Linked DNA regions of Pelodiscus sinensis. The protein of the gene in region 1 binds, or shares a complex with, the protein of each later gene. Links are inferred from orthologs where the notes say so. Each region holds a gene or a part of one and is shown in the gene's direction. Other genes may lie near its edges. The genes, in order: NUP43, NUP37 and SEH1L.

The links.
Region 2: NUP43 (region 1) and NUP37 share a complex: the UniProt entries of both Homo sapiens proteins name them as parts of the nup107-160 subcomplex of the nuclear pore complex. The link is inferred for Pelodiscus sinensis from reciprocal best matches to the Homo sapiens genes NUP43 and NUP37.
Region 3: NUP43 (region 1) and SEH1L share a complex: the UniProt entries of both Homo sapiens proteins name them as parts of the nup107-160 subcomplex of the nuclear pore complex. The link is inferred for Pelodiscus sinensis from reciprocal best matches to the Homo sapiens genes NUP43 and SEH1L.

The regions. Positions count from the first base shown.
Region 1 is NC_134713.1:106,457,649-106,467,824, reverse strand, and holds the start of NUP43 (nucleoporin Nup43), read left to right. Parts: upstream 1-5,741; 5' UTR 5,742-5,849; coding exon 5,850-5,969; intron 5,970-6,872; coding exon 6,873-6,995; intron 6,996-7,255; coding exon 7,256-7,333; intron 7,334-8,351; coding exon 8,352-8,532; intron 8,533-10,176. Other genes in the region: PCMT1 (protein-L-isoaspartate(D-aspartate) O-methyltransferase), read right to left, coding at 73-304. UniProt on the Homo sapiens protein: Component of the Nup107-160 subcomplex of the nuclear pore complex (NPC). The Nup107-160 subcomplex is required for the assembly of a functional NPC.
Region 2 is NC_134711.1:99,497,639-99,507,792, forward strand, and holds the start of NUP37 (nucleoporin Nup37), read left to right. Parts: upstream 1-5,145; 5' UTR 5,146-5,255; coding exon 5,256-5,297; intron 5,298-5,306; exon of another isoform or gene 5,307-5,364; intron 5,365-5,418; exon of another isoform or gene 5,419-5,575; intron 5,576-6,018; exon of another isoform or gene 6,019-6,074; coding exon of another isoform or gene 6,075-6,086; intron 6,087-9,668; exon of another isoform or gene 9,669-9,724; coding exon 9,725-9,880; intron 9,881-10,154. Other genes in the region: PARPBP (PCNA-interacting partner), read right to left, coding at 2,081-2,234, 4,838-4,959. UniProt on the Homo sapiens protein: Component of the Nup107-160 subcomplex of the nuclear pore complex (NPC). The Nup107-160 subcomplex is required for the assembly of a functional NPC.
Region 3 is NC_134712.1:87,660,327-87,670,966, forward strand, and holds the start of SEH1L (nucleoporin SEH1), read left to right. Parts: upstream 1-5,801; 5' UTR 5,802-5,958; coding exon 5,959-6,069; intron 6,070-10,640. UniProt on the Homo sapiens protein: Component of the Nup107-160 subcomplex of the nuclear pore complex (NPC). The Nup107-160 subcomplex is required for the assembly of a functional NPC.

The DNA.
Region 1 (10,176 bases):
TAACGGCCGAGGAGGGGGGTTCGAGCTGTACACGCCGCGGCCCCTCCCTCGCCTGGCCAGCCGCAGACTCACTGCGTAAGTTGTGGATGAGCTCGGAGTGGCTGGAGCCTCCCGACTTCCAGGCCATGGCCAGACACACTCTGCGGAGCAGGTACAGAGCCGCCTTCAGCGCCGCGACTGCGCACAAGAGCTTGCCTAGGAACGACACAACCTCTAGCGCCGACCCAGGCGCCGCCTCCTCTCCTCCAGCCGCGCGCCCGCCAGGGGGAGGGGCCGCGCGCCCACCGCCCCGCGCGCCCGACATTCTCAACGGCCGCCACCCGCTTGCTCTGCGCATGCGCACCCGTAGAAGGGCAAGGGAACGCCATGGGGAGGGGGTTGAATAGCTTCGCTGAGGGGGGCGTCGGGAGGAGGTGTCGCAGCGTTCTCGCTGCCTCGTGATTTTAGCTGCTGCTCACGTATTCACTGCACGGGAGGATGTGTGAGGCCTGCATAGGGAGAGGCTGGGACAGGCAGTCGGGGTTAGGGGGGAGCAGCGGGTACAACCCCACTCTTCACTCCAGCAAAGACTGGAGTGTTTGACATTTGGGGCTTTGTTCAGGCCAATCTGTTATACAGGCAAGGGCAGAGATGTGAAGTTTGAACCTAATGCCAGGCTCCTCCAGAATGTGCAGAAGTGCTGTGGTTCTGGGGCTGGCCCATAGTTATTAAATGGACTGTGACAGCGAAGGTGGAGTTTACAGCTTTTTCTGTGACTTCCATCCTGGCAGTAGATGAGTGACAAACATGATCATTTTCTGCAGTGTCCTTGAAAAAACCGGATAAAACTAAGTCTCGGTGGAGTCCAAGAATGCAAAAGTTATATATGCTTGTAGGTCAGTATTATATGTACCATGCCTAGGGGGCAAATGTGTACCTTGGGACATTATTGATTGCTGTGTAATTACTATGATTATATAGCAGGAACTGGCAAGATATGGCCTGCAGGCTGGATAAAACCACAAAACCTTTTAATGTGGCCTGTGGCCCACCCCGTGATACGGAACACCTCTGCTCAATGCAGCTGATTGCTCCCTCTGGCTCTCTGCACTGCAGGAGTAGGAAAGGGAGAAGGAGGCTTCTCATGTTGCCTCTGCCTCCAGCAACATTTCTCTGCTCCGATTGGCTGGAAACTGATTTGCTGGGGGGCAGCACATGAAGCTTCCCTCTGCAGCGCATAGAGCCACATGGAGCTTTGAGTGGTCAGGGGCTGTATCCCTGCCTGAAAGTGCTGCTGGCTGGGAGCTGCATAGGCACCCCACCTCCATCCACGTTCCAATTCCCTCCCGGATTCTGCACCCTTTCCTACACTTGTCCTTCAGGCCAGAATCCTGCACCAGGTCACCAAATGCTCTACACCCTCCTGTCTCTCACCCCAGGTTACAATTCCTTCCCAGAACCTGCACCCTCTCCTACGCCCTTCCCTAGCCAGAAACCTGACCTGCATCCATACCCCCTCCCAGATCCTGCACCCCAATCCCTTGCCCCAGGTCACAACCCCCTCCTCCCAAATTCCCTCTCAGACCCCAGACCTTTTACATCCCAGTCTCCTGCCCCAAGTTTCCTTCTGCACTCAATTTCCATCCCAGAACCGCACCCCCTCTATAGAAAAGTGCAACCCTTGATTACTTACTAAAATTTTGAAGTGGCCTCCCCATCAAAAATTATTGCCCACCCTTGCTGTACAGCTAATCTGTGTCATTCTATTGATTGTAATGAGTCAGTGTTTTGAGGACAGTTAAATACATGACAGAGTACAGGCAGTCCCCGGTTACGTACAAGATAGGGACTGTAGGTTTGTTCTTAAGTTGAATCTGTATGTAAGTCGGAACTGGCGTCCAGATTCAGCCGCTGCTGAAACTGACTGCCAGTTCTGACTTACATACAGAATCAACTTAAGAACCGCAAGCGTCCCCAAGTCCGCTGCCAGCTTCCCCGAGGCTTTGCATAGCCGCGGGGCGGGGGGGCTCGGCCAGCAGGGCATCCCAGGCGTGCCTGGGCTGCCCCGCTGCCCGAGCCCCTCCGCGGCTTTGCTCTGCGTCTTCCTGGTCTGCAGACCAGGGAGACGCAGAGAAAGCCCCAGAGTACACGGGCGGCAGGACCGCAAGGTCCCGCAGTCCGTGTACTCGGGGCAGCCTCGTTCGTAACTGCGGATCCGACGTAAGTCGGGGACTGCCTGTATCTCATTGCTAGACTACTTGGTCCACTTGTCACTGACCTTTAAAGATTCTATGGCTGCATGCTAGCTTAGATATCAGTACTTGAAAGACTTCACATGGCATTGCTATCTTGTCTGCACAACAACTGAGGCAGGTGCATTCGGGACATCTTAAAGTGCACACACATACAATGGGCCTCAAGGAATAGGCTCTCCCTTTACATAACATAGATGTCACTAACACAGACCTCTAAGCAAGTACAGTGAAAGCTTTGTTATCCAGCACATGTGGAGAATGCGGGTTGCCAGTGTGAATATGCCGGATAACAAAATGTATCACCCTGCCCCACTGACACATCTAGCTCCTGACAGCTTGAGGCAGGCTGAGAGGGAAGGAGGCACCTGCTGATGATGTCAGTTGGCAGCGCAGGTTGTCAGAAGCCCTGCAACGGCTGGCTGGACAGGCAGGAGTCAGGTGCACGTGCCTGAAGTGGTATTGTTGCTGGGGGCAGTTAAAGTTTTCCAGTTAGCATAGTGCCAGATAACACATTTTTCATTGTAATTCAATTGTAAATTATGTATTAGAGTAACCAGTATTACTTGTCAATAGAAAGTTTAGTGTTTATATATGATTAAAAAAAACTAAGGAAATTTTCAGAAAAGAACTTTAAGGCTGTTTTGTAGTGATACCACAAGGGGGAAAATATGTAAAAGAAAACAAATTAAGGTTTCAACAGAAGTTAATTTAATCTCGTCTGGGACATCAGACATTCAAATACCATCATAACTATATGATTATTGCATGCTGTCATTACAGGGCCGAGTAAAGGTTGGTTGGGTGCCTACATTGCATTTTTGTATTTTAACATGTTTGGGTTTCTCTGAATTTCAAGAGTTTATAATGCTTGTTTTTGTGATTATTACAGGTCTTCTAATTTTTTTTCTTCTCTTAAGTTACCAATGCATGTTCCCAGCCTTTACTGCATCTTAACGTACTTTTTGTCTGAGAATTTATACTGGTTTGACATTTAATTAAGGCTTATAGCCCTTGTTCCAAGCAGTTAAATTCGCCCCCAAAATGACAACAGACTCCCTAAATTGGGAACTGGGAAAGTGACAACGGTGAACTGTGGAGTGGAAATGTGGGGGCTATGAGAGTGATTGCATCTAGCAACATATCAACTCATTCCTTTAAGATATTTAATTTAGATAACATTAGGGAGTATAGTTTAAAACTCCATCCAACCCTAGGGCAACATAGGATTTCTGCTTTTAAATGGCCTACAAAAATCTACATTAAATTAACTGCAAAATTAGGAAATACCAAATTAACATTAGACTGAGCTATGAGTCAGGGCTATGGATATGCTACAGACCTAACAGTGGTGCAGCTGCACCAAACTAAAGGTTCTAAAAATAGATTTAATCATTAAAGGAAAAAGAAAGAAGAGAAATACAAGTGATTAGAAGATCAATATACAGACAAGTGACTTCCAAAGTTCATCATTCAGGATCAGAGCAGTGATGGAATGAACTGCTAGCTTGCAAAATAGTATCTACAAGCTAATTTGTTTATATTGTTAAACTTCTGACAAGATATACATGTAAATACAGATGAATGCCCTACCTTTGATTTCTGTTACTATAAATAAATGAATTGATTATTGCTAGTCGAATACATCTATTTGACACTAGTGTCTTCTGTTAAGTTCTTACGGGTCGTAAACAGACTGACTGGTCTGTCAGTGTCACAAAATAAAGTATAATTCAAGGCAGAGTGGCCTGTTAACTGCTCTGCAGTTATAGGACAAAAAGAGGGGAGTACATGTTGTTGACATATCTCCACTGCTACAGTGACCAATACCTACCACCTCACCTTGGAACCCATACCTGGTATCTTCAGACAATTACAACCCATACTCAATGGGGGACCTCCATCCTAAAAGCTATATTTCCAGAACTTCCACTCCTGGCCTTCAAACAACTTCCCAACCTTTCTGAGATCATCATAAAAAATAAGCTCCCCCTACACTAGGACACACCAACTTAAAATCAATAAGAAGTCCGGTGGCATCTTAAAGATTAACAGATTTATTTGGGCAGAGTGTTTTTGCCCATAAAAGCTTATGCCCAAATAAATCTGTTTGTCTTTAAAGTGCCACAGGATTTCTCATTGTTTTTGTAAATATCAGCTCAAAGTGGCACCAGAGCCTGCCAGAATTACAGCTGCAAAACCTAGACACATATCTCTACTACTACAGTGATCAACTTTCCACACAACACATCTTTCAAGATATAGGGATCCTACATATGCCTATTACAACATACGATATACCTCATCCAGTGAATGAACTATGTGACTCAAAACATACAAACATTATGCTCTCAAACTCACACAGGAAAATGATAAAATACAAAAATGCCTTATCACCTCTGGTTGAACACTTCAGTGATCGCTCTATTTCTGACCTCTCAATTCTCATCCTCAAAGGACACCTGGCCCTTTTAAATTTCTGGGCTCTAGGGTAGTAATAGAAATGTAGCCATATTAGTCTGGTGTAGCTGAAGCAAAATACAGGACTATGTAGCACTTTAAAGACCATCTTGTTAGTCTTTAAAGTGCTACATAGTCCTGTATTTTGCTTGGGCTCTAGGGTAGTTGCTTTTTTTTGCTCCCACCATCTCATCTCCCCCCTCCCTACTATGTCAGTAATAGACCTAAAAGCATCAATGTCAGCTAAGTACAAATCCCAACAGGTGGTTACTTTCTTAGTAGTATACGGTACTAGTCCACTTTCACCTGTGGTATTAATGGCTAATCTGCAGGTCCAGAGTTGGCATGCTACACCGTAAATGTGGTCAGCAGGATCCTGTTTGAGATTTTTGTGAAGCTCTGTTAGGCTGTGTCTACATTGGCATGATCTTGCAGAAATACTCTTTAATGCAAGAGTTCTTGCGTTAAAAGCATTTGTGCAAGAGAGCGTCTACACTGGCATGTGCCTTTGCGCAAGAGATGTGCTTTTGCGCAAAAGCATCCGTGCCAGCGTAGACGCTCTCTTGTTCAAGAAAGCTCTGATGGCCATTTTAACCATAGGGCTTTCTTGCGCAAGAAATTCATGTTGCCTGTCTACACGGGCCTCTTGCGCAAGAACAGTTGCACAAGAGGGCTTATTCCTGAGCAAGAGCATCATAGTTCTTGCACAAGAAGCACTGAGTTCACACATTAGAACTCAGTGTTCTAGCACAAGAACTCCCCACCAGTGTGGACAGGCAGCATGTATTTATGCAAAAGTGTGTGCTTTGGTGCAAGATCATGCCACTGTAGACACAGCCTTAGGGTTTGGAGGAACCATATGGGTTAAATGCAAAATGACCTATGAGCACGAAGCTGGCCTAGGAAACAGGCAGGCGTACAGTGCAGTCCCCGCCCCAGGCAAGGTTCCATTTACTCCCGTCATGTCCCGCCCACCTCTGAGCGTAGTTGCTGCCACAGAGATTTGTACCTCCTCTCTTGCCGTCTGCCGGGAGGCTTCAGCCAATCGGGGAGAGCTTGGGCGGAAGAGGCGGGGTGACGGCAGCGGGAGCCTATCGGGGCTGCGGACGAAGTTTGTGCTTCTCGGTGGCGCTTGTCCCTTTCGTTGCCGCCGCCAGCATGGAGGATTTTTCCGCCAAATTCGTGTCCCAGAAGATCAGTAAGACGCGCTGGCGGCCGGTGCCCGCTGCCGCCCTGCAGCCCCCCGAGCTCTTCGCTACCGGCTCCTGGGACAACGAGGTACCGGCCCGTGGAGCCTCTAAATCCGCCCCCGCGCTGCTGTCGCGCCCCTGCCCGTGGGCTCGAGCCGTTATTAGAGCGCGTCTCGCTCCGCGCTGCCAGGGGCTCCCGGGTGGGCCGCTGCTCAGCGTTTGTGGGGGGCGGCGCGTTTGTAACAAGTGTCATCAGCGGGGGGTGCCGGGCGAGGCCGCGTTTGCCCCTTGCTGCGCCTCGTGTTGCAGCGGTGCCCCGGACCCCTCTTCTCTGAGCGGTGCCCGGAGCCGCCTCCCTCCTCCCTGCCACGGGGTTGGCGTGGTTTTCTGTATTTTCATATCCTACCGGTGGTACACGGGCTTTCAGCTTTCTCAGTTAAATAAGCTGAGCGCTATGTAGCTAATTGTGTGAGATCTTAACAGCTAAGCTCCTAGTTTCTCATCGTGAAGGCTGAAGCTCCTTGCTGCACAGTCTCTGTGTGTGTTTCGTTTGCCTGGCTTAATGACCAAAATTTCCTCCTCTTCCGTGTGTGGTGTGGACTGGCTCTCTCCTCCTTGGAACTGGCTGCATTTGGTGATGTAGATTTTATTAATGCTTAGCATTTTTCGAGATTAATATGCTGTGTAAATACACACCAAATATGGAATATTAATTTTCTTGTATATTTAATCTATCTCTATCAAAATGTAATAGTTTGTTAGTCTCTTTAGGAAGAGAGAAAATTGAGTTGACTTATTGTTTCTATTGTAGCTGTAGCTTTGTTGGTCTCAGGCTATTAGACATGAATGAAGTAATATATTTTATTGGACCAGCTTTTCTTTCTGACAATATTTTTGTAGCACAACATTCTACCTCTGCCATCTTGTCTCAACTGACTTTTATGGCAAGTGTGTCTTAAAATAAGCTTGTTTCACTACTCTTGTCATACAGGAAAACAAGATCTCAATTTGGTCTGTTGGAGACTTTGGAAATGTGGGCACCAGTGGGGAGTATCAAGGAGAACCACAGTTGCTGTGCGATATCAGACACCATGGTGATGTTATGGACATGCAGGTAAAATAGTTATATCCAGTAGCTGTTTTTTTTTTTTCCTTTCACTTTGTTAGAAAATGTATCAGTAGGATATCAGAATATTGAGAATCAACTAATGTCTGCTAGGGGGATATTGTCTAAATACAAAAAAATTATGTTTGGAAATTTATATGTACATTCTGAAATTATCTAGCAACCAGTAAGACTCACAGATTCACATAGTAATGCTTCTGTGATAATGTGCTCAAACTGTGTAACAAGCTTAAGATATTTCTCTTTAGTTTTTTGACCAGGAGAGAATTGTAGTTGCTTCATCAACAGGAAGTGTAACAATTTTCCGTCACCATCAAAATAATCAGGTAAATAATTTGTTGTGGACATAACTTTCTCTTGGTTTCAGTTACTGTTGCTTCTAGTACAAGTTTTTTTGGGGCTCTCAAATGCATGACTTTTCAGAACTATCAAAACATAACGCAGCTGAACTCAATTAGGGATATAAGTGACTAGTCAACTACCCGATATACATAAGCTTATCAGATAGTCAAGTAGTCACTCGACTAGTTGCTTCTCCCCCCTCCTAAAGCCAGATGGCCCCAGCACTGTCTCCACGGAGTAGCAGGGGAGGCAGAGGCATCCCTACTGTTGCATGCCTCTCTGAAATGTACAAGAGCCACTTGCGGCTCTTCTACATTTAAAGGGAGAGGCGCAGCGGGATTGCAAGTGCCCCCTGTTATCGACTAATTGAGCAGTTGATGGGAACTCCATCAGCTACTTGATTAGTTGATTAATCAACATTTAATATCTCTAAACTCAATAAGTTCTAAATTCAGTAAATCAGGAATTAGGTTATTTTTTAAAAAATGTGTAGAATAGTCTGATATAGGGATGTAACTGTATAATTGTTTACATGGTTAACTGATAGGCCTGGACTATCGATTACCATTAATGATTACACGCAGACTCCTGCCTTGCTCCCGGGGAGCTAGCTGTCACTCCACACTGATGGCTCTGTATCAACAGTTACACAATTACCCAGTTACCCCTTTTTAACACTGTGAGATAATGTTCCTGTCTATTGGTCACACTGACTCTTAAGAATAGAGCACTGAAAGATCACTGTGTCTGTCCATGGATATTCACATCTGCTGATAGAAATGTCTATCTGCACAGGACTCTATGCATTGGTGATTAAAAAGGAAAGCTATCCTCTGATCTGTAATGATGTGAATGACTCTTGAAATAATGCAGTGTGCTTTGTTTATTTCAGAACTAGTTTCTGATCTAACTTCTTTACATATTTCAAAAGCTTTGGTTTCTAACGCTGTTGCAGGATTGTTAATTAGCACTGTTGATACAGTCTCTTTATTTACTGCTTAGACTTTATCTATTAATCAACGATGGGAGAGGGCTCATTATCATGTGGATCCGGATATCCCTTTCTGTGGTGGAGCTTCATGTACAGGGGTCATCTGCAACAATCCAGAAATTGTCACTGTTGGAGAAGATGGTCGAATAAATCTTTTCAGAGCTGACCACAAGGAGGCTGTGAGAACTATAGGTAAGGCTAATAACCACTTTTTAACAAATGGGGTCTAAAGAATTTATCTGTACTCACAAAATGACCAACAAAAAAAGAAATAGCTAGTAACTTCAGAATTGTTCTGAATGTCTCAATAGAATCTGTAATGAGCAATACACTGGATCTAGAATATTTGCTATTTTACACTGCATTTAATCAATGCAAAAAATTCAGGCTTAGAACTACCTGCACGCATGCTTTTTTCCCAGCTTCTGCAGTCTTGCATTATTTGTCAGTTCTTTAAAATATATTTAAAAATATTTCCTTTTGAAACATAATTATCAAGATCTTGACCATAAGTGGTCAGTATGAACCCATTCTTCTTTCAGAGATGGTTTTTCTTTGTTCTGGACAAATTCCAATTTTTGTAATTTTGTTTTGTTAGCTTCTGGTATTACATTGGTCCTTCAGTTCTCTTGCAATTTTTTTGTGGTTCTGCGGTTTTCTCTGTTTGTGGGACACCCTTATTTGTACAGAAGAAACAATCCTCATAAGAGGTGAAATATATGAAGTAAACTGAAAAATATTTTTTCTCTAATTTTTCTGTAATAATAATACTGGATCAGTCCCTCACTTAAATATCTAACAGATTTTCAGATACATGTGTGTAGGAAGAGGTTAGGTAACTTTTCTTTACTTCTCAGGCAATGTTCCTTCTAATGTTTTATGGTCCGTGTACGGAATGCATTTTGTGTTCTCCAATACAGAAATGATGTGTGACACAACATGTCCATATTGGTGCATATAAATTCCGTGCACATTCTGCCTACTTAATAATCTTACTGTTAAAAAGCAGCTGCAATATAGGATTATTTACCATTCCATTCCTAATCGGGGGAGGGTGGAGGATTTTCTGTTTAGCTGATATGTTCAACATATGCTAAGCAGTCAGAGTGCTATACTCTCTCTCTCTCTCTCTCTCTCTCGCTCTCTCTCAAAAAACAAAAACAAAAGCTTTTCCTGCCACATGACAGGATGATGTCATCAGGCTCTCTGGCCATGAAAGTGGGGGATTGGCGAGCATAGCAAGCGGGGTTTTCATGACCAGAGAGCAAGGAGTTGGTGAGCTGAGTAAGCAGGGAGCATCCCCTAGTGTGACAATATTTGTATTAAAATCTACTGCACAACAGGGGATCTTAAAAAAAATATTTCCCTGGCCTTTTTAATGAAGGGACAGAATATGTGTTAAAAAGAAAAGATGTGCTAGGAAGGATTTTCTTTAAAGGAAATTTGTGCGTATGAGCTAGTCTGTGAAACTTGTCTTAAGTGACACTCTGTGAACCAGCATCATATGCTTCTTTGGTATGGACAAAGGAGATGTGGATGTGGGGAAGTGAGAGGATATTTTGGAATGGTCTCAAGATGGGGTTCTTTATAGAAAAAGGCCTTCAATGTGTATTTCGCTTTGAAATTTCACTAAATAATATGGACTAGAAGTTGAGCTTATTAAAACTGTAATTGGGCAACTGAGCTAACTGCTATTATAAGTTAATTATAAATAAGGACATTGAATTTTACGTAGCATTTTGCTCAAGTAGGTATTGCATCTCTACTTCTGATTAAATAGACTACGAAGTTACTATCTTCAAAAGCAAAGCTAGAAGGGGAAGTCCATGTAAATAC
Region 2 (10,154 bases), on another chromosome or scaffold:
GGGGACCACGGGTATATATGGTCATGCCAATTTTCTTCCACAATTTGATCTGAGGAAGTGGGTCTGGCCCAAGAAAGTTCATCACCTAATAAACCATCTTGTTAGTCTTTAAAGTGCTGCATAGTCCTGTCTTTTGTTTCATCCTTTAGAGGGGAAACTGCTTTAATCTTTCATTCAGCATCAGTGACACTCCCTGGTCAGACTGATCTATAAGGAACTAAGCCAGTACATCATCATTCTAGGTAAAGTCCTAGCCATAGTAGTAGCAAACATCTGACCTCTCCAGTGAAATCGAATCTGGGGCTTCATGAGAAGTGGTGAAGAGACAAACAGAAGAGGGCCTCAAGCAAAATGACTCACTCTTCTCCAAGAGCAGAAGGCACAAAAAGGCAGCTAACTGGAAAATACATAGAGCCCTATAAATCTGCAGATATCCACTTTATATCCATGGGTATCCGCATCTGCCGGTATGGATGCAGATATCCATGGCACATTTTTGTGGATATAAATTTTGTATCCACACAGGGCTCTAGAAACATGCACCACTGATGCTTAAGCCCCAAAGCATCTTATATCAACTTAATTCTGTAAGCATCTCCACGACTATATTGTTCCCATCATTGTAAGTTGCCCACTGCACTGATCTACTAAGTTCAGCACTTCAAAAGGTGTAGCACACTTAGGTTGATGTAGTAGAGTTGATACAGTGTCAGTATAGACGCTACATTTCTTATATTGCCTATTGCTGCCTTTACAGCCCAAATCCCACTACCCCTCTGATGGTGGGACTCCAGCTGTCAGAGCCTCACTTAAATTGGTACAAGTGCTTCTTCTGAATATGAAAACTGCCAACAGAAGGTGTTTAATGTGGGGCACAAAGAACCAATTTAATTACTGCAGTTGCTATAGGTCAACCTAACTTAAGTTGACTTAATTTTGTAGAGCAGACATGGCCCAATACACAAACTGAGGGGAAAACAGGTATTCAGAACTCACCAAACAGATTAGGTCTCCATAGGTGAAGTCACAAAAAGGTTGTGGTGGATGGTAGAAAGGATTACCTTTAGAACTTGTAAGATCAGCAATTAAATATTCAATTAGGGGCAATCTTTCATAACCCAGGATAAGTCCTCCCTCTGCCTCAAGGAGAAAATGGTTATGAACAAGGATCTACAACCTCTGAGGTGAAGTGCCCTAACCACTGGGATGCTACAGGATATTCGGATGTGAAGCTCCCTCCGTCTTTCCTGTTGAAGCTGTTCCAGTATGTATAAATAATGTTTAAAAGTTATTAGAGCAGGGGGACTGGATCCTGGGTCTCTTACCTACTGGGTGGGTGCTCTCACTTCCAGGCTAGACTTACTCATGTTTGAATTATTTCATTATTTAATCTACAGCGGAGAGATACTTGAACTGAGGGGCATTTCTCCTCTATCCCAGGTGAGTCACCTAATCACAGGCCAGAAGTTATGAGGGAGGTCCTCCTTCTCCCCTCCTCACTCCAGCTTCTTAGTAAAACAGCAGAATCACTTAATGCTAAAAAGGTTTTTCCCCTGAGAATTCCTAAGTACTGTAAAGAGAGGAACAGGGCTTAGTACGCACTGCTCATCTTGGCGCCTCAAGCAACGAATCACCTAGCATGCTGACTTTGTGAATCCCATTCTGAGTTGCCTCTTTCTCCCCATTCATTGTACAGTGGCATCAAACTCAAGCTTTGTGAATACCAGTGATTTTTTAGGCATCTGAATGTTAGGACAGGCAATGCTCAGCATTACTACAGTGAGCTCTTTTGTGAATCTACCCCCTAGTGGCTAGAAGGAACACTGAAGGAAAAGGGAGTGACTGAGAAATTACATGAAAAAAGCAAATCGCAGAAATATCATTGTAATACTGAAGATGAAAAATTACGCATACAAAACAAACAAAAAAATCAGAAAGCTAACATTTTAAAATTTTAAAACTAATATTTTAAAATGTGTGCCTTAAGTTAAAGCTCCTAAAGCTTATTAATGCCTGTTATGTTTAGTCTGATTTTCAAAAGTGCTAATCACCCAGCCGCTTCCATTGACAGAGTACAAACCTGTTTATTGACTTCAGCCATTGATAACTGTAAAGCCATCATCATGTAGTCTGCACCACAAACAGTAGTCCTTTCTGAATCAGAAAACAAGCACCACTGTCTTCTAAAACACTTGATCATATTTAAGATCTTTTGCTGAAAGACGGCCATATTCCTGAAGTGGAACACAGAGAGAATGACTTAAGTCCATACAAATAAATGCAATTTTAAAACCATAATTTTCTAAGTAACAATTTGGGGACACAGCATCCCATATTTGTCAATTTGTCTCCGTTCTCTTTAATGCTAGGCAATTGCTATGATTACTTCCTCCACATTGGGGTGGGCAAAATACAGCTTGCAGGCCAGATTTGTCCCACCAAACACTTAGATTCAATCTGCCATGATCCTCTGAGCTGTTAATGCCTGCCACAGTCCCACAAGCTGCTCAAAGCAGCCGGTTGCTGGGGCAAGCACATCTGTATGTGTGCATCCCTTGATGGCATGGGGCAGTGGGTCTCTGCATACTGCCCTTGCCCCCAGCATCATCCTCCCAGCTTCCATTGGCTGGAAACAGGCCAGTGGGAGACGCATGAGTGGTGCTTGCGGGAACAAACAGCTCACAGAGACTTGTTGTCCCCACTCTCCAAGGGGCATGCAGAGACATATTTGCCCTAGCAGCGGGCCACTCTGAGTGGCCTGAGGGGCTGCAGAAGGCAGGCAGCCAGCCTGCCTGAGTGCTCCCCCGTAGGCCACTGGCTGAGAGCCGCCTATGATAAACACCTCCTGGCCAGAGCCTGTAACTCATGTCCCTTCCTGTATCCAACTGGTCATAACACCCTCCTGCACCCAAACTCCATCGCAGACCCTGCATTGCCTCTGAACCCTCACTGATGTGGCCCACAACTGAAACTCCTCACTCCCCTGGAGCTCCAGCCCCATGGGGGAGGGGAGGTGAGAAGGAGAGGGAGAGGAGGACTGAGGATTTGAACCCCTTAGGCTCTGGAGTGGGGCCAAAAATGAGGCGTTCAGTGTGTGGGACAGGGCTGCCAGTGAGTGAAATAGGGATGGAGGAGCAGGATCTCGGCAGGAAGCAGGGTGAGGAGGGGCTGAGGGTGCAAGGTCTGGGTGGGAGGAAGTGTGTAGGAGCAGCCTGGGGCCAGGTAGGGAATCTGGCCAGGAAGGAGGGTGCAGGAGCAAGGGAGTGTGGAGGAACCAGCTGGGGGTAGGGTGTCTGGCCATGGGGGAAGAGGCAGGAGCAGGGGTGGAGACAGAGTGTCTTGTCAGAGGGGAGGGGGCAGGACCAGGTTGATCTGGCCAGGGAGGAGGGGGACAGGAACAGGGAAGAGGACAGGGTGTTTGGCCAGAGGGGAATGGTGCAGTACACCTGGGAGGGGACAGGAGTGGGTTGGGGATGCAGGGACTAGGCAGGGAGCTGGTGAATGAGTGGGCTGGGGGTGCAGGGTCTCAGCATAAGGAAGTTGGGGCACTTACTTGTCGTCAGGCCCATGCCAGTCAGAAGTTCAGCCTCTCGCTGCTCCTATTAGCCAGAATCTGGCCAATGGGAGTGCAGGGAAAGTCTCCAGACAGCGAGCTGGCACGTTGCTGTCCTCCCAGCCTAGGTGAGGGAGCGCTTCTCCATGCAGCAAGGCTCAGGGCTCTCTCTCCATCCACCCCACCCCCCACAGTGGGAAGTCAGCACTGGTGCTTCAACTGCAGGGGGGAGGAGGGAGGGAGAGGCTACAGCGCCAGGCAAAGGGGGCCCAGGCCTCTCAGGTAAGTGCTGCCAGGCACCTCCCTCATCTACATTGCAGAAGTGCCACTCATTGCTGCAGCCTCGCATGTGGCTGGGCAGGAGGAAGCCAGTCTGATCTTGGGAGACAGGCTGGGCTTGGATCTCACCAGGGCAGCTAGGCCCTGGGCTCAGGATGTGGCCACTCAGGGCACAGAGGAGGATGGGGCAGTGGGCAACTGGGAATGGAGGACATCTTGCCCTGTGCCTGGTGCTTGTCCTGAGCCTGCTGGACCAGCAGCCCATGAGCATCAAGAACAGTAGTGGTGCAAGCAAACAGCCTTAGAGTAAGTTGTGGTGCCCCAGAGTGTGGGATCCTTCCTCTGCTTCTGTCATGAGTGGGCTGAGCCCTGGGCCTCGCACCAGCCAAAGCAGCCCCTGGGCTGGGGAATAGGCTGCCTGAAAGACTGCAGCCAGACCTGAGTGGGCAGGACCACTGGGAAGCAGAATCTGCCCAGGCCAGGCAGCTTTGCCAGTCCCTCAACAGCATCCAGGGCAGGTAGCTCGTGCGAGGGCAGAGCCTGTAGATGCAGATATTGTTCTGTTGTCCCACAGGAAAAAACATGTTATATATAGACAGACATTATGTAAAAACTATTTCCTTCTCTCAGTTTTGAATTTGTTACCTTTTAATTTCATTGAATGTTCAAAAAAACCACAACCCTTCATGGGGAGCCTGGGCTACTACATTTTATGTGCTCCAGCCCTGCAGGGTGTTGGCAGGGGGCTGGAGCACCAGCCCAGGTTCCCCAGTGTTGTGGGCCAGATCCAGGCAAGGCATAGACCACATCTGGACCCCAAGTCTTAGGTTCCTCCACCCCAGTCTAGTTTACTTTTTAAGACAATGGGACCAATCCGACCCACAGTCTTCCAAACAATGCTACACCTTCATGTTTCCTGTAAAAACTGAAACTTTTAACCCTCTTTTAAATGGTAGGCACCCGCACACCTGCACCACTAGGCACATGCCTCTGTCCTCTCCCTACCTGGAAATCCAGCTCTGGGAAGGAGACGGGAACGGGACATGACTAAAAACTGACACAGTCCTAGGAGGGGTGAGGAGGCCACAGGGGGCTCCTTGCCATATAGTGCCGTCCCTTGGCATCATCTTGTCATAGCCCCCCCCCCCCCCAGGCGAGTGAGCCCCAATCAGGAAGGAGGCTGGGTTGCCAACGCTGGCTCGCCGGATTCCTGGAGATTTCGTCCCATGGCGTGACGTAATTCCGGGAGGCTCCCGGGCAATCCTGGAGGGCTGGCCCCACGAACCTCTAACGCCAGAGTCTGCGCAGAGACGCGGCCCGGGGCAGCGGTCACGGCCGCCGTCCTAGTCGGACGGGGGCAGCACCTGCTGGGGAACGACCCAGGCCACGGGAGACTCCAGTCCTGGGGACACCCCGCCCTTTCATGGACCTTTCATGGACCCCCCTGGCGGCCACCAAACAGCGGGTGAGTTACCTGTGCGGCTGGGACAGCTCGGCAGGTCCCGAACGAAGGGGGGGGGGTGGGAGGGAGGAGGAGTGGTTGGTTGCCTGGTTACCTAGTCGCACGCACCGGGCCGCTGGCGGCGGTTTAAATTTAAATCTACCCCAGCTGTCCAATCAAAGTTGGGGGGAGGAGTTGCCTCTGACCCGGAAACGGAAAGTGCCCGGGGGGCGGAAGTGGCCGTGAGCTGCCTACAAACTCTTCGCGGGAGAGAAAGTGGCAGGCGGTAGGGAGCCATCCATGTGCGTAGGTGGCGGCGCGCGCGTATGTCGTTTGGCGCGGCCGGCGATCACCCGCTGGTGTCCAGGCCTTCGCTCCCGTTGTGGGAGGGGCCCCTTGGAGAGTCTACCCTGTCCGGGGCTCTCTGGGCTGCAGCCCTTGTTCTCCCTCAGCCCCCCGCCCCCCCCCCGTCTCCGCTTCTTCTCTGGTCCCCGCCACGCTCCGTCCCTTTCCCAGCTGTGCCCTGGGTGCTGCGGGCTTGTCCTTCCTTCCCTGCCTGCCTGCGCCGTGTTGCCAGGGCGCGCTCCCAGCGGAATAATGCTTTGCTGCCAGCCCCAAACGTTAACCCCTCGTGGGTCGGGCCCCTCGTTTTCGGGAGATGTGTGTTGGGTGGGGAGGGCTCAATTCGCCCAGTGGGTTTGGAGTCTCCTGGATACATTCGGTTCTCAAGTGTTTTCCTCTGCAGCTAACAGAGACTTTCTTTAGATGAGATGTTTGACTCCAGGAGCTGGGACCTGAAGAATGCTAAATAGGGCAAGTATCAGAGGGGTGGCTGTGTTAGTGTGAATCCGCAAAAACAAGGAGAAGTCCTGTGGCACCTTATAGACTAACAGATTTATTGGAGCATAAGCTTTTATTGGAGCATAAGCTTTCGTGGGCGAAGACCCAATTCACGGACAAAGTGGGTCTTCGCCCGCGAAAGCTAATGCTCCAATAAATCTGTTAATCTATAAGGTGCCACAGGATTTATCCTTGTTTCTGCAAATAGGGCAAGGTTCATCATAAAATCACAACTTAGCAACATTGATGAAGCTTTCCCGACATTTCTTCCCCCAAAGAGATGAGTTCCCACTCTACTGGGTTATAACATTTGAAATCTTCATAGGATACTAATGTACAGGTGACCAATAGGGATGTTAAAATGTGTTTAAGTAAATGTATGAAATTTTCAGTCATTACGCACAGAGCAGCAGTCCGCTCCCATGGAGCTGAAGCATACTGGGAGCCTGTGTGAAACCATGAAGATTAATCCATGAGCCTGCCTCATCAGTTAACTGTGTACACAGTTATATTTTCACATCCTTCGTGACCAAAGAAACTGAGCCAAAAATTATTCATAATTTTTTCTCTTAACGAATGACAACTCCACTTGTTTTAACTCAGTCCTTTGAATCTTTTTTCCTTATCAATTTGTTTGCTCTCCTAACTTGCTAGATATTTATTTGTACTTGAGTTCAGCGCTCTAATAGGTCTTATACCAATGATCTCTAACCTTTTAAGCATGAGATCACTTTTTGAATTTAAATGCAGTCCAGGATCTACCTCAAACACCTTCGCCCTGCTTCCTTTCTGTCCCTTCTCTGAGGCCCTGCTCACTCCATCCTCCCTCCCCCATCCTCACTCACTTTTATCAGGCTGGGCAGGGGCGGCCCGTGAGCCTAGGTGACCTAGGCAGTTGCCTAGAGCACCGCTGGCCCGGGTGCCCTGTGATGACATCACAGCCATTAAAGGCTGTACAGGCGGGGCGCCAATTATGCCGCCTGCCTGGGACACCAGCTGCCGCAGCCAGCCTCAAGCCACTCCTGAGGCTGGGGACAGGGGTTTGGGGTACAGGAGGGGTTCAGGACAGAGGCTAGGGTTCAGAATGCAAGCTCCAACTGGGCACTGCTTACCACAGATGGCTTCTGGGTGGTGGTAAAAGGGACTAAGGCAGGCTCACATCCTGCCCTGGCCCTGCACCACTTCCAAAAGCAGCCAGCAAACTCTCCATTTCTGCCCCCCTCTGCTCTGTTGAGATGGGAGTACAGGGTGGGGGGAGGGGCACCCTAACATCAGCAGTCCCCCTTCTTCTTTCCATGCCCTGCACAGCAAGCAGGAGACTCCCAGAGGTGAGGAGCACCTTCAAGGCAGAGGGCAAGAGCAACCCAGCAGTGCTGAGAGGGGCAGAGGAAGTGTCAGCACTTGATAGCCTTCTGGCCAAACCTCTCAGGATCACCTGTCAAAGGTTCCAAGATCTGCCAGTAGATCCTGATCTACTGGTTGGTGACCACTGCCTTATTCCAAGGAACTGTGAGAAGTGCATCCATCATTTGCCTTTTTCCTCACTGAAAGCAGAGAGGAGCTCAGAAGGCCAACTGACTATGTCTGGATTAATAATGTGCATTTGTCCATCAGAGACAAATCTAGACACATGCGTAGATAACATTGACACAAGACAACTTGCATCAGCCTTATTTCATAGTATAGAATAAGCCTTACAGTTCTGTTTTCTGACATTTATTTTGCATTTTTGGAGTATCTTTAAGCCAAGTGTGCTTATAAAATTAAGTAGCACCACTAAAATGTAGTTATCCTCTGCACTAGAGTGGGGCAGGGAAGATTTTTGTCCTTTACTCACATGAAAAACTCCCTGAGATCTCTAAAATTCATATATATACTTTGCTTAGGGATTTGAATATATTGGAAATGTGAGGATTCCTCCACATCAGTGTAAACTGTTGAATGCTAGTGGACTGGATAAAGAAAACTGTCTCAAACTACATGTAACCACTAGTTTTACAGCAGATCTGAATTGGTAATACAGGCAGTCCCCGACTTACGTCGGATCCGCACTTACAAACGGGGCTTTCTCGCCCCGGAAGTCGGGGCGAGAAAGCCCCGTTCATAAGCTGCTCCGGTGCCCCTGGTCTGCTGGAGACCGTCTCCAGCAGACCAGGGGCACCGGGCGGGTTCCCGCGCCTCTGAGGCTTTGCTCTGGCAAAGCCTCAGAGGCGCGGGACCCCCCCGCGGCTGCGGCTTCAGTCCGGGAGCCTGTGGTCTGCTGGGGATGGTCCCCAGCAGACCACAGGCACCCAGATTGAAGCGGCAGCAGCGGCGGTTCCCCGCGCCTCTGAGGCTTTGCTCCCCGTGTCCCTGGTCTGCTGGGGGGGGGGGCAGCTAGTGTGCTCCCCCTCCCCCCCAGCAGACCAGGCTTTTGTTTTGGACTCTGGGGCAGAGCAGCTGGGGTGCTGCCGATTGGTCCTGCAGCGCCCGCTCTGGGCACTACTGGACCACCCCGGCAGCACCCCAGCTGCTCTGCCCCAGGTCCTGATTCAGCCGCTGCTGGTCAGTTTCAGCAGCGGCTGAATCAGGACGCCTGGGGCAGAGCAGATGGGGTGCTGCTAGGTTGGTCCATTAGCACCCAGGAGTGGCGCTACTGGAGCAACCCAGCAGCACCCCAGCTGCTCTGCCCCAGGCGTCCCCAAGTCAGCTTCTGCTGAAACTGACCAGCGCTGACTACAGGAAGCCCCAGGCAGAGTTGCTCTGCCCCGGGCTTCCTGGAATCAGCTGCTGATCAGTTTCAGCAGCAGCTGATTTGGGGATGCCTGGGGTTCTTAAGTTGATTCTGTATGTAAGTCAGAACTGGCGGTCAGTTTCAGCAGTGTCTGAATCTGGACACCAGTTCCGACTTACATACAGATTCAACTTAAGAACAAACCTACAGTCCCTATCTTGTACGTAACCCGGGGACTGCCTGTACTCAACAAATTTGTTGGAAATATTGTTTCATCTGGTTTTAGAGCTTTATATTGAAGGAGTATCTTTACTGAATATTGATTTATTGAGGGGTGGAAGTGGAGAGAGTGTTAAAACTTGGTACTAGAGATGTAAAATCCCAATTAATCAGTTAAACATTAAGATTAACTGATTAAGCAGACTGCTGCTGTCCCCTTCCTCCTGTGGGGGGCCAGCAGCAGAAGCCAGCAGCCATGGGGTGGGGGGGAGATGGCTTCTGCTCCCATACTCCCCTCTCCCCCATGCACAAGGTGCCTGACTCCCGCTGCCAGCTCCCTTGCATGGGGGACCAGCATCAGGAGTCAGCAGCCGTGCACATCTTGCTTTGTCTCCTACTCCCTGTGCAGTGGGGGAGGAGGGGGAAGGGCAGCTCCTGACTCCCATGGGACTGCTCCCAGATACTGGTTAACCAGTGTCCGGTAAGCATCACCTACGAAGGGTGATGCCTACAGGTAAACTGGTTACCCTTTCATACCCCTAGTATATACTGAAAAATGAATGTTGTGTTTTGATACACTACTGTGGCAGATTCTATATGTATATGTTTGTTTTGATATATAGATCTTTGTCCTACCAAAGAAGTTACCTCAGTGCTAACTTGATTTTTATTGTTGAAGATGAAGCAAGACTCTTCTCGAAATGCTACCTACACTGTGGATTGTGAGGATTATGTGCATGTGGTAGAATTCAATCCATTTGATAGTGGAGACATAGGTTCCCTAATTGCATATGGTGGCAATAATTATGTAGTTATTGGAACTTGCAGATTTCAGGTTAGTATGTTTTTATCAAATTTTTTTTTAATTCCTGATTTTAATGATGAATCAAGAGGCACTGATAAAATAGCATGTTGGAACAAAACCACTTGTGCTTTTTTTATAATGGGTCTGTGTTTAGATTAGGGATATAAAATCCTATTGAATTGGCTAACTAGTTAAGCATTGGTTAACTGATTAAAGGAGGGCAAGCGAGGGAGCAGGGCGCTCCATCCCAGCTGAAACGCTCTCCTTCCCTCCCTCCGTCACAGTCAGGGGTTGCACTGTCCCG
Region 3 (10,640 bases), on another chromosome or scaffold:
TTTTGGGAGCAATAGGGCCTAGCTCAGAGGTGAGTGTACACTTACAGGGCACTGTCTTGTTACGGGCGGTGGGGTTAGCTGGACCCAGGTTCTGCCGCTCCACTGGGTCCAAGCCCCCGGCCCTGTTGGTCATGGAGCAGGGACTCCGACCGCCACACACTGAGCTTGCGAGGAACAATCCCCGCCCTGGGCACCTTCCTACCAGCTCTGATGCGTCTCTTCCATTGCGTGGCCTCTGGGCAGCATCCCATCCAAGGGCCTCTGTGACCATGGCTGCTGCTGGAGGCTCCTGCCACACCTTGTTACCAGGGCCGCCTCTAGTTTTTTTGCCGGCCCAAACAAAAAAAATTTTGGCCACCTCCTCCCCTTTTTTGTTGGCTTTTACACATATTTGCACTTTGCAATTTTGTTGGTTTGTTTGTTTTTGACTGTTTAAAAATTAAAAAAAATTAAAACAGAAAATTTTTACTTAGTGAAATAAAACAATTTCCTACTAGTGTACTCATTTAATTTTAACAAAATCACAATTACAAATAATTTGGGTTCAACGATACACTGTAATGAAAAACGTTAGTGTCTTCCGGTGCACCCAGTTTCTCCTAAATTAAAAGAATTTATATGAACTGAATTTTTCTGGTTTTTATACTTGTGTAGCCTTTTAATAAGTCAGTAATATCTAAATTTTTTGCAATGGTACTTTCAACTGAAATTAATGCGAGTCCTGGCAAACGATTTTGAGACATGGTTGATCTCAAATAATTTTTTAGTAATTTCAATTTTGAGAAGCTGTACTCACCAGAAGCCACTGATACTGGTAATGTTAAAAGAATGCGTACTGCTATAGCAGTGTTTGGAGTGAAAAAATCATTTCTTGCTATAAATTCTAATACTTTTAGAGGAGAAGTTTTAGGACTTATTAGCTCAGATAAAGCTACTAATTCATCATACAATTCTACTCCATCACTGTCAGCATAGTTATCAGTACTGAGTGCTAAATGTAGGTCCTGGCAGTGCTTCATGAGATCTTCTTTAGAAAACTGATTTTTAATATTTCCAATATCGTATAAAAATTCAAAAGTTTCACAAAGACTATGCAACTGATCGAATCTTTCTTCATGAAGGGGGCTCAGACCCATTTCAGTGGCATTTAGGAATTAACAAACATTATCAGGAGTAAGGAATGGCTGCAATACGAGGAAAGATTAATAAGACTGGGGCTACGTCTACACTGGCCCCTTTTCCGGAAGGGGCATGTAAATTTCACCAGTCGTCGTAGGGAAATCCGCGGGGGATTTAAATATCCCCCGCGGCATTTAAATAAAAATGTCCGCCGCTTTTTTCCGGCTTTTAAAAAAGCCGGAAAAGAGCGTCTACACTGGCCCCGATCCTCCGGAAAAAGTGCCCTTTTCCGGAGGGTCTTATTCCTACTTATTCCTACATTTTATTTAAATGCCGCGGGGGATATTTAAATCCCCCGCGGATTTCCCTACGACGACTGGTGAAATTTACATGCCCCTTCCGGAAAAGGTGCCAGTGTAGACGTAGCCTGGGACTTTTCATCATGGAAAAGAGACAACTAAGAGTGTAGGGATAACATATTAATGTATTGAAAATGATTCCCCCAAATGGAAGTGACTCCCCATAATTTATTCCCCACAACTTAAAGTGTTTAGATTTATTATTAATTCTTCTTCTTCTTCTTCTTATTTGTTAAGATTGTTAAATGTTTAGATTTATTATTATTATTGCCCCTTTAGAATATAATGTATTAGGTCATGTAACTTAGAACTGTTAAGAATATAATCCTATATAGCCAGAAACAGCCCCCCCCCCCGTCCCCCCCCCCCCCCCCCCCCCCCGTCCCAGGGCATGCTCAAGCTTGTGCAAGGGAGCTGCTTGAAATTGACATTGCAGAGATACATTGGAACAATGCATTGTCAAGCCACTAACTCTGCTATGGAAGCCAAGCCCTGTAATTGACTAAGGGCATTGTTACATAATTGACGCCTGTTCTCTTTAAAACATTGTAACTTTACTCAGCACTCAGAGACTGTTTTAATCAATACCACCCAGAAACTTTTGTAACTACAACTTTTATTATTATACAAAATACTGTATAGGAAACATTAATTAGGGAATGTATGTAAGAGAGAGAGTGCTTGTATGATGAATGAATGGTTCTGAGAGGTGCCAGCCTGAGAATACAGCAACAAAGGGCTGAAGAAGGCATCAGGTGCCAGTGCAACCAAAAGGTGTCAAGTGGAGAAAACCAAGTACTGGAGGTCCACCCGATGAGATCACTGACGAGCACCTGGCAGCCACCCTGAAGACATCAGCATGATGCAGCAATTTCCATAGACTGGCATAGGAAGAAATTCCTATAAGAACTGGACTAAAAAACTATGGAATCAGAGTCCAAGGTTCTGCTGCCAGCCTACCAGGAGCTTCAGATACGCATCTGATCAGGACTTTGCTCCCCACTACCATCACTTGTGTACAGAATACCTGGCCAGTATTCTGTCACAAGCAACTCCCAGGCTGGTAACTATAACAAATACACAGAACCTGAATGAATGGATGAATGAATGTTTATATGTATAAGGGTTAAGTAGTTAAACAATGTTGTTTGCTTCTATCTTTTCTTTATTTTTTTATTATTATCTTTACAATAAATGTGGATTTTTGCCTTATCCCCCTCATAAGATCCTGCTTGCTTTTATTTGGTATTACAAGAGGGGGAAATGAAAGAGGTCTATAAAATCAAGACTGCTGTGGAGAAAGTTAATAAAGAACTTATTTACTTGTTCCCATGACACAAGAGCTAGAGGTCACCAAATGAAATGAATAGGTAGCAGGTTTAAAACCAACAAAGTATTTCTTTCCTTAATGCACCGTCAGCTTGTGGAACTACTAGCCAGAGGATGTTGTGAAGACTAGGACTTTAACAGAGTTCAAAATTGAGGTAGATAAGTTCATAAAGGAAAAGTCCATTAATGGCTATTAGCCAGGATGGGTAGGAATGGTGGCTCTAGCCTCTGTTTGTCAGAAGCTGGGAATGGGTGACAGGGGGTGGTTCACTTCATGATTACCTGTTCTGTTCATTCCCTGTGGAGCACCTGGGATTGGCCCCTGTCAAAAGACAGGATACTGGGCTAGATGGACATTTGAGTTGACCCAGTATAGTAATTATTATGGTCTTATATTAACTTTGAGGATTTGGATCTGGGGAGGAGGGGACAAAGATTTATCTCTTCATGTATACTTGCACCATGCTTAGTACAGCAGGGTCCTGATCTCAGTTGCAGCCTGAAATGAGGGCAATGTTCAAAGACTGGATATTCCCCTAGGGTAGAATGAAGAGCAAACAGGTCATAAGTTCACCTCCAGTCTGGCACCAGCTTGTCAGTGTGAACTGACACTTGGTCAAGCAGATCCGGCTTGAGCCATTCCTGTGCCCCGGGCAGCAGGCGCGTGACACATGCATGGCTCTGCCCCAGGTGCATGGCGCATGCGCGGCCCTGCCCCCTGGCGCGCTGCACACCTTACAGCTGCAATCGGGCACATGGCCCGGCTAGCCCCCCCCTTAATCCGGCCCTGACAGGCACCTCCAGATGCAGTACCAGCACCTCCAGTCAGAACTCAACAACTTTTCCCCTGGAGTACCGGCAACTTTTTTTTTTTTTTTAGAAAAAAAGCATTGCGTGAGAAAGGTTTCAGGAGTTTGCCACCTCCTCCTCTGTGGTGGGGAGTAGGGGAGTGTCTTCCTTCCTGGTAAAACTTAAAATAACAACAAATAGTCTGGTAGCATTTTAAAGACTAATAAAACATGTAGATGGTATCATGAGCTTTCGTGGGCACAGCCCGCTTCTTCAGATGACCAGCTTCCTGGTGTGAACCATAAAGCCTTAAAGAAGGTAAATTAAAAAAATCCAACTCTGCAGTATTGCTTTTTAACAGAGTCTTGGTCAACTTAATGTTAATTTGAATGTTTGTACAATTAACTGCTGTTAAGCTTGCTAGAATAAGTAATTTTTCCAGGTGTCCTGGATTCAGTACAGGGAAATCTGGACAACCTAGTAAGGGGCCACCAGTCCCTTTACATACAGACAATTACTGCAGAGTATAAAGCCTTTGGGAGCCAGGCCACTGAGATGAATGAGGTGAGTGAGGGAAGACTGAAAGAACTGGGCTTTTTTAGTTTAGAAAAGAGAAGACTGAGGCTACATCTAGACTACACAGTTTTTCTGTATCCTGGAAAAACTGTTCCGCATCCAGGGAACGTGTTTGATCTTCCGCTTTTTCTGCAGAAGAGCAAATGCACTCTTTCAGAAGCCCCGGTATTGCTCGTTCCACAAGGAATAAGGGGGCTTCCGAAAGAGGGTTTTCCCCCCAACATTTGGCCCAGTCTAGACGTGCCAAATGTCAGAAAAGCCTCTTCCAACAAAAGAATCAGAAAAAAGCTACACAAAATGCAGAGCTCATTTTGCGTAGCTTTTTCAAAAAAAAAAAAAAAAAAGCGGCAGTGTAGACCTAGACAAAAAAAACCCACAACAAATGGTCTGGTAGCACTTTATAGACAAACAAAACATGTCGATGGTATCATGAGCTTTTGTGGGCACAGCCCCCTTCTTCAGATAACCGGAGTTATGAGTGGGCTATGTCCACGAAAGCTCATGATACCATCGACATGTTTTGTTAGTCTATAAAATGCTACCAGACACTGGCGTGCATATGGGGTATGCCGGGTGTGTGCAGGCACACCCTAATGTCTTTAGTTGCCAGGTGTCCGGTTTTCTACCAGACAGTCTGGTTTTTTGGGGCTCTGTCCAGTAAAAAAAAATCCAGAAAATACCAGACATGGCTGGTATTTTCTGGTTTTCCGACTGGGCATCCGGAAGCCTGGTGGAGGGAGTGGCTGGGAGGCGGGGCGCGATCGGTGCTGGGAGCCTGGTTGCATGTGAGGAGGAGGGGCAGCCCGGTCTGCGTTCCTGCGCGCTGGTCAAGCGCGTGGTGGAGCCACAGCCGGACTGACTCGTGCTTCACCTGGACTGTGCAGGGGGCAGGAGCGCCCTGGGATCTGCACTTCCTGGGTCAGTCCTGCTCCCCACCCGCTGATATGTTCCTCCCCCCGCCCTGCTCCCTCCTGGCTGGCCAATTGGTTCTCCCTCACTTCTCCTCCCAATCTTCCCCTGCCAGCCCCGTTGCACCCGCCGCCAGCCCTGCTTCCAATGGCCAGTTCTCCCCTCTTCTTCTGATCTCTCCGGACCAGGCCCTCTGTACCCAACCCCCGCCCCCAGCTCTACCTCCTGCTGGCTGGTTCCTCCTCCCGATCTTCCCCGGCCAGCCCCGCTGCACCCATTTTAAAAAAATTAAGTTTAGTTGTTTAGTTTCTTTAGTTTGTTTGATGAATAAAAATAATGTCCTTTATGATTGAGTCTTCAATAAATGTTCGCCTTTAAAAGAAACAGAATTCCCTGGGCGCACACCCTAATGCAATGTGCTGCGCACACATGCCTATGCTACCAGATCATTTCTTGTTGTTTTTTCTGTAACAGACTAACTGGGCTCTCCCCTGCAGCTCCGAGACCTAGACAGTGCTTTGTCCTGCCATGCGGGCGGGGCTGGACTAGATGGTCTCTAAAGGTCCCTTCCAGTTCCATGGCCCTACGAGACCCTTTGGAAGGTCGCTTGGGCTGGAGGCGGCGCATCAGCCCCGAGAAGAGCCGCGCAGCAGGAGGCGGGGCCACTTGGCGCTCCCTTCAGAGTCTCCAGCGCTCGCGGCCGCAGCCACCCCCGCGCGGCGCGTGACGCCTGGGCTCGCCCCCTGGCGGAGCGCGAGGGAAGCGCCGCTGGCACGCACGCGCCGCCCGCTCTCCTGGAACGCCGGGCGGGCAGGCGGGCGGGCTCTGTCCCGGGCGGCGGCGGCGGCGGGGGAGCGAGGCGCGGCCCGGCCGGGGGATGTTCGTGGCGCGCAGCATCGCGGCCGATCACCGCGACCTCATCCACGATGTCTCCTTCGACTTCCACGGGCGGCGCATGGCGACCTGCTCCAGCGACCAGAGCGTCAAGGTGCGCGGGGCTGGGCGGCCCCTTCCCCGCCGGGACGCGCCTGCCCAGCCGCTCGCTGCCGGGGAGGGCCCGGGGAGGGCGGGCGGGGCTGCGATGTCCCGCGCCAGCCTGGGCTCGCCGGGGCGGGGTGACCCGCGCGTCCAGCCGAGCCGCGCGCCAGGCCCAGGCGGCGGGAATGTCTCCCGGGCCCCCGGCTGGGGCGCCGAGGAGCCACCGCGACTGGGCCGCCGCGCGTCCCCCGGTGCGGCGAGGAGATCGCCGCCGCCTTGGGCCGGGCCTGCTCGCCGAGCCTCGCTCTGGCCTCCCTGGGCAGCAAGTGCCCCCAGCGTGCGCGTGTTGCGCGTTTCCTGGCAGCCCCCTCAGCGCCGCGGGGCAGGGGCGGCAGCCAGCCAGCCTTTCCCCCCTGCCACGTGTGTCGGCGGCCTGCTGGCTAGCGAGCCCGCCGTCCTGTTCAAAGCCCTGCAGGGAGCAAGGGTGAGAGACTGCGGGCAAAAGAAACGTCGTGCTGGAGCACCTTACCGGAGACGCTGGAGTGTTACCTGGCAGGAGGATCAGAGTTGGATTATGTAATTTGCACATATTTAAAAATACTCTTTTCATATAGGGATGTCACAGTGTAGACAAGTGAATGGTAATCAATTATCCTGGGTTTAGTGGTTAAAATTGTCGACTACACCTATTTCCTCCCGATGCCTCTTAAGTCAGCTCCCCGTGACCACCAGATCTGCCTGCCCAGCACCCACATTGCCTTCTCTGATAGAGGCAGTAGTATGGGGGGAAGGGGCAGGTGGGAGCTAGTACACATGGGGAGCTTTCAAGCAGGCTCCCCATGCATATTGGCTCCTGCAGACTTGTCCCCCCCCCCCACCTCCCCCCGTGTGCCTCCTACAGTGGCAGTGGAGGGGAGGCAGGCAGGAGCTGGTGCTGCGGAGAGCTGGCTTAAAGCTGGTTCCATCCAGCACTAGCTCCCTGGTGCCCTCTCCTCCCCCACCCCCAGCCACTAGAGGCAGCAGGGGTGGGGGAGGCAGAGGAAGCTGACACGAAGCAGCCTCTGTCTTCAGTGGCCGAACTCTCTGCAGATAGAGGCGGCTCCATATCACACAGAGCAGCTGCAGTCTGCGGTAAGCCTGGATCTGCTGTGGACAGAGGGTGTTCTGAGAGAGCCATTTCTGTCTGCTGGGGGTCTTGAGTTCCCCACAGACAGACTGCTCTGCATCCCATGGAACAGCCTCTGTCCATGGGGAGCTCTGCTCCTTTGGGGACAGGGGCTGCAGCTGCTCCTTGCTGCTGCCTCTGACATAGAGGCAGCAGCATGAGGAGGCAGGAGCTTCCCCGAGAATGTGGCTGGGAGTGTATTGGCTTCGCCCGCCCACCCTCCCATGGTTTTCCAAATAGACCCCTGGGGACTCTCGAATAGTCCTGTAACCACTAAGATTTCATGTGGTTACATGGCTATTCAATTACACGATACCTAACATTTGTACTTTAATATTTAATTCGCTGTTTCCTCCCTCAGTGAGTATTAAAATCATGGCAAATTGGGAATATATAGTATTGGCTGCTTTTAAGTTATATGAAGCTAATTAAAGGCTGGTCAAAGTCTTGAAGTCATGTTTTTGTAGCTTTCCTTTTACTCAAAAATAACTGGATTAATTTATCTCAAACTTAAACAACTATGGTCTGAGAACAAGTTTGTAAAAATTATCCGTGAAGGTAATGTGCTTGGGAAGGTTATGGGTGACTGTTAAAGGGGGGGGGGGGAAGTATGCTTCAAAATAGAGCTTTAGTTCCAGTGTTCGTTGCCTGAACTCTATAATGTAACTTTGCATTAGAGATGCAAATGGTTACCTGGTAAGCATTCCTTAATGTGGGGGTGGGGAACCTTTTTTGGGTCTGGGGTCACTGAACCACAGAAAAATCAGTCAGGGAGAGGGGGGCTGCACACAATTGGGGAGGACACAAAAAAAACCCCACACTGATGTGGCCCCTGACTGAGAAGGAGAAAGATACTCCTTATGTTCCCCTCACACACCAGAGCCTAGAGGGGCCTAGCCTAATAGATTTTGTGTGCTCCAGCCCTGCAGTGAGGTAGCAGGGGTGGAGGAGGGGGGCTGGAGCACCAGCATCAGCTCCCAATGATGGGGGGTGGCGCTGAGCGGGGGGGGGGGGGGGGGGGCCTAGATCCAGTCAAGCCGAGGGCCGCATGTGGTCCTCAGGCCTGAAGTTCTCCACTCTTGCCTTAATGGGTGTCAGGGAGCTGCCTGAAGGGCTGGTGTGTGTGGCCAGGGTGGCGGGTGGGGGCAAGCGGGAGAGAATGGCAGCAGGATGGCTACTGGCTCCCAGCCCACCCAGGGTTGTGGGCTGTGAGTTGGCAGGTTCGTGGGGGAAGCGCTGCCAGCTCCTAGCCCTGTGTGCTGTCAGTGGGCAGGCTTGTGGGGGAAGAGGGTGCTGCCAGCCAGCAGTTCGACTCGAGCTGGGAGCCAGCAGTCTCATCTTTTCTCCCCCACCCCATCTTCTGTCCCATCTCCTTGCACGAGGCTGCCAGATCCCAGCCCATGGGAGCCTAGCGGCCTGGAACAGCCCCCACCCACACCCGTTTAATCAGTTAATCTGTCAAACTTAATGTCTAACCAGTTAACTAATTAAATGGGATTGTATATCCCTACTTTGCATTTTAAAAAGTACCTTTTTATCAGAGAACCTTGAAAAGATTTATATGTATAATGCCTCCCAGTGCTTCTATAAGTCTGTCTGCTCTATAAATAGAGTGTAAATCTAGGAAATGGTTTGTAACAGTGGTCCCCAATGCGGTGCTCGCTGGTGCCATGGCGCCTGCTGGGCCATTTCTGTGCGCCCACCCAGTGATTGGGGCCGATCCCACCCCCAGGTGCATGGGCAGTGCCAGCCCCTGGGTGCGCAGCGTATTGGCATCTCTGCCCCTGGGCGCACGGCACAGGAGTGGCGCCGGCCCCGGATGTGTGGTATATGGTCAGCCCCACCCCTGGGCGTGCGGCACAGGAGCGGCGCCAGCCCCAAGAGTGCGGCTCACGGGTGGCGCCAGCACTGGGCACGTGGCATATGGGTGGCCCCGTCCCCGGTTTTAGAGTGGCCCTGCCCCGGGCACTCGGCAGCCCCAAAAGGTTGGGGACCACTGGTTTGTAACATGGTTGTGCTCTAAACTGGTTATAATCAGGGTGAGTGGCAACATGATTTACGTAAGATAAAATGGTGAATGAGAGAGGGGGCCAGGAATAAATTCCAGATTCAGTGTACTTATTCCTCTGAACTAACCAGTAATGACCTCCAGATCTTATTTGACAACATGGTAAAGGTGGATAAGGATTATCTCACATTTTTGTCTGGGGGGCAACTGAGGCAAAGAGGTTGTGATATGTCTGAGATCATACTTAAGTCAGAGGAGCTGGAAGTAAGGAATTCAACCTTCAGCTTCATGTTCTTTTTATTATTTCACAGTAGCCTACAAAGGAGGGGGCATCAGTTACAATTTCGTATTAAAATTATTTATTAAAACTTGCTGGACTAGGTAGGTTTATAATCTCTCTCTATATATAAAAAATGTTTCCTGTGGGACTACAGAGGGATGTCAGCACGTCACTCTGTGTCCCGTCAGCCCTCCCCCACTCAGCTGCCGGGGGTCCTTCCTCCCTCCCCAGTGCTCCAGGGGGCAGGAGCCACGTGGCCTGCCTGGTGCTCTGGAGAGGCGGGAGGGGGTTGGTGAGCATAGCGAGCGGGGGGGGGGGGGGAGGCCACAGCCCCCTAGTGTATATAAATATTGTTTACAAACATCACTGCTTAAGAATTGAAAAATTATTCACATCAACAGTGTTAAGCTACAATTTTCAGCCACTGTAGTGGGAATGTTGTGATTTTACGATACAAAAGTTTTGTTTCCAATTGCACAGTTATCTTATTGCTTGGACACAATGGAACATTATGGATTTTTTCCCCTCCACAAAGTAGCTTTGCAGGAGTAACCTTTATAGTTGGTACACATGTAGGCAGTCATAATTTCACTTTTTAGTTATTGACTTTTACCTTGAGTATCAATGGGGTGAGAACACAACAGACTGTGAAACTAAGGATGCTAAAAGTTGAGTAATTGACTAATCATATAGTTCATACAATTTGGATTGACGACATGATTAGTTGATAAGGGGAGGTGCTCTGTCCCCACTCGGTGCCAGTCCGGGAGTTAACCCTTTGCAGCTCTGCAGTTTAAATTTAGTTGGAGCCAGGTATGCGTGAACAGCCCGGCTCCTAATACGCTTGAGCTGCAGTGGAGGTAGCTCCTGGACCAGTCAGAGCTGGACCACTGTGGCTCTGCATTTTAAGTGTAGTAAGAGCTGTGAGGCTGTTAGGGGAGGTTCCTGGCTTGCGCTGAGTTTGTGAGCTACCCTGGCTGCAGCTCTGCAGTTTAAATGTAGTAAGAGCTGTGAGGCTCTTACTACATTTAAACTGCAGAGCTGCAGCCAGGGTAGCTCACAAACTCAACGCAAGCCAGGAACCTCCCCTAACATCCCCCTTTCACCCTCCCCCGGTTTCTGCCTCTG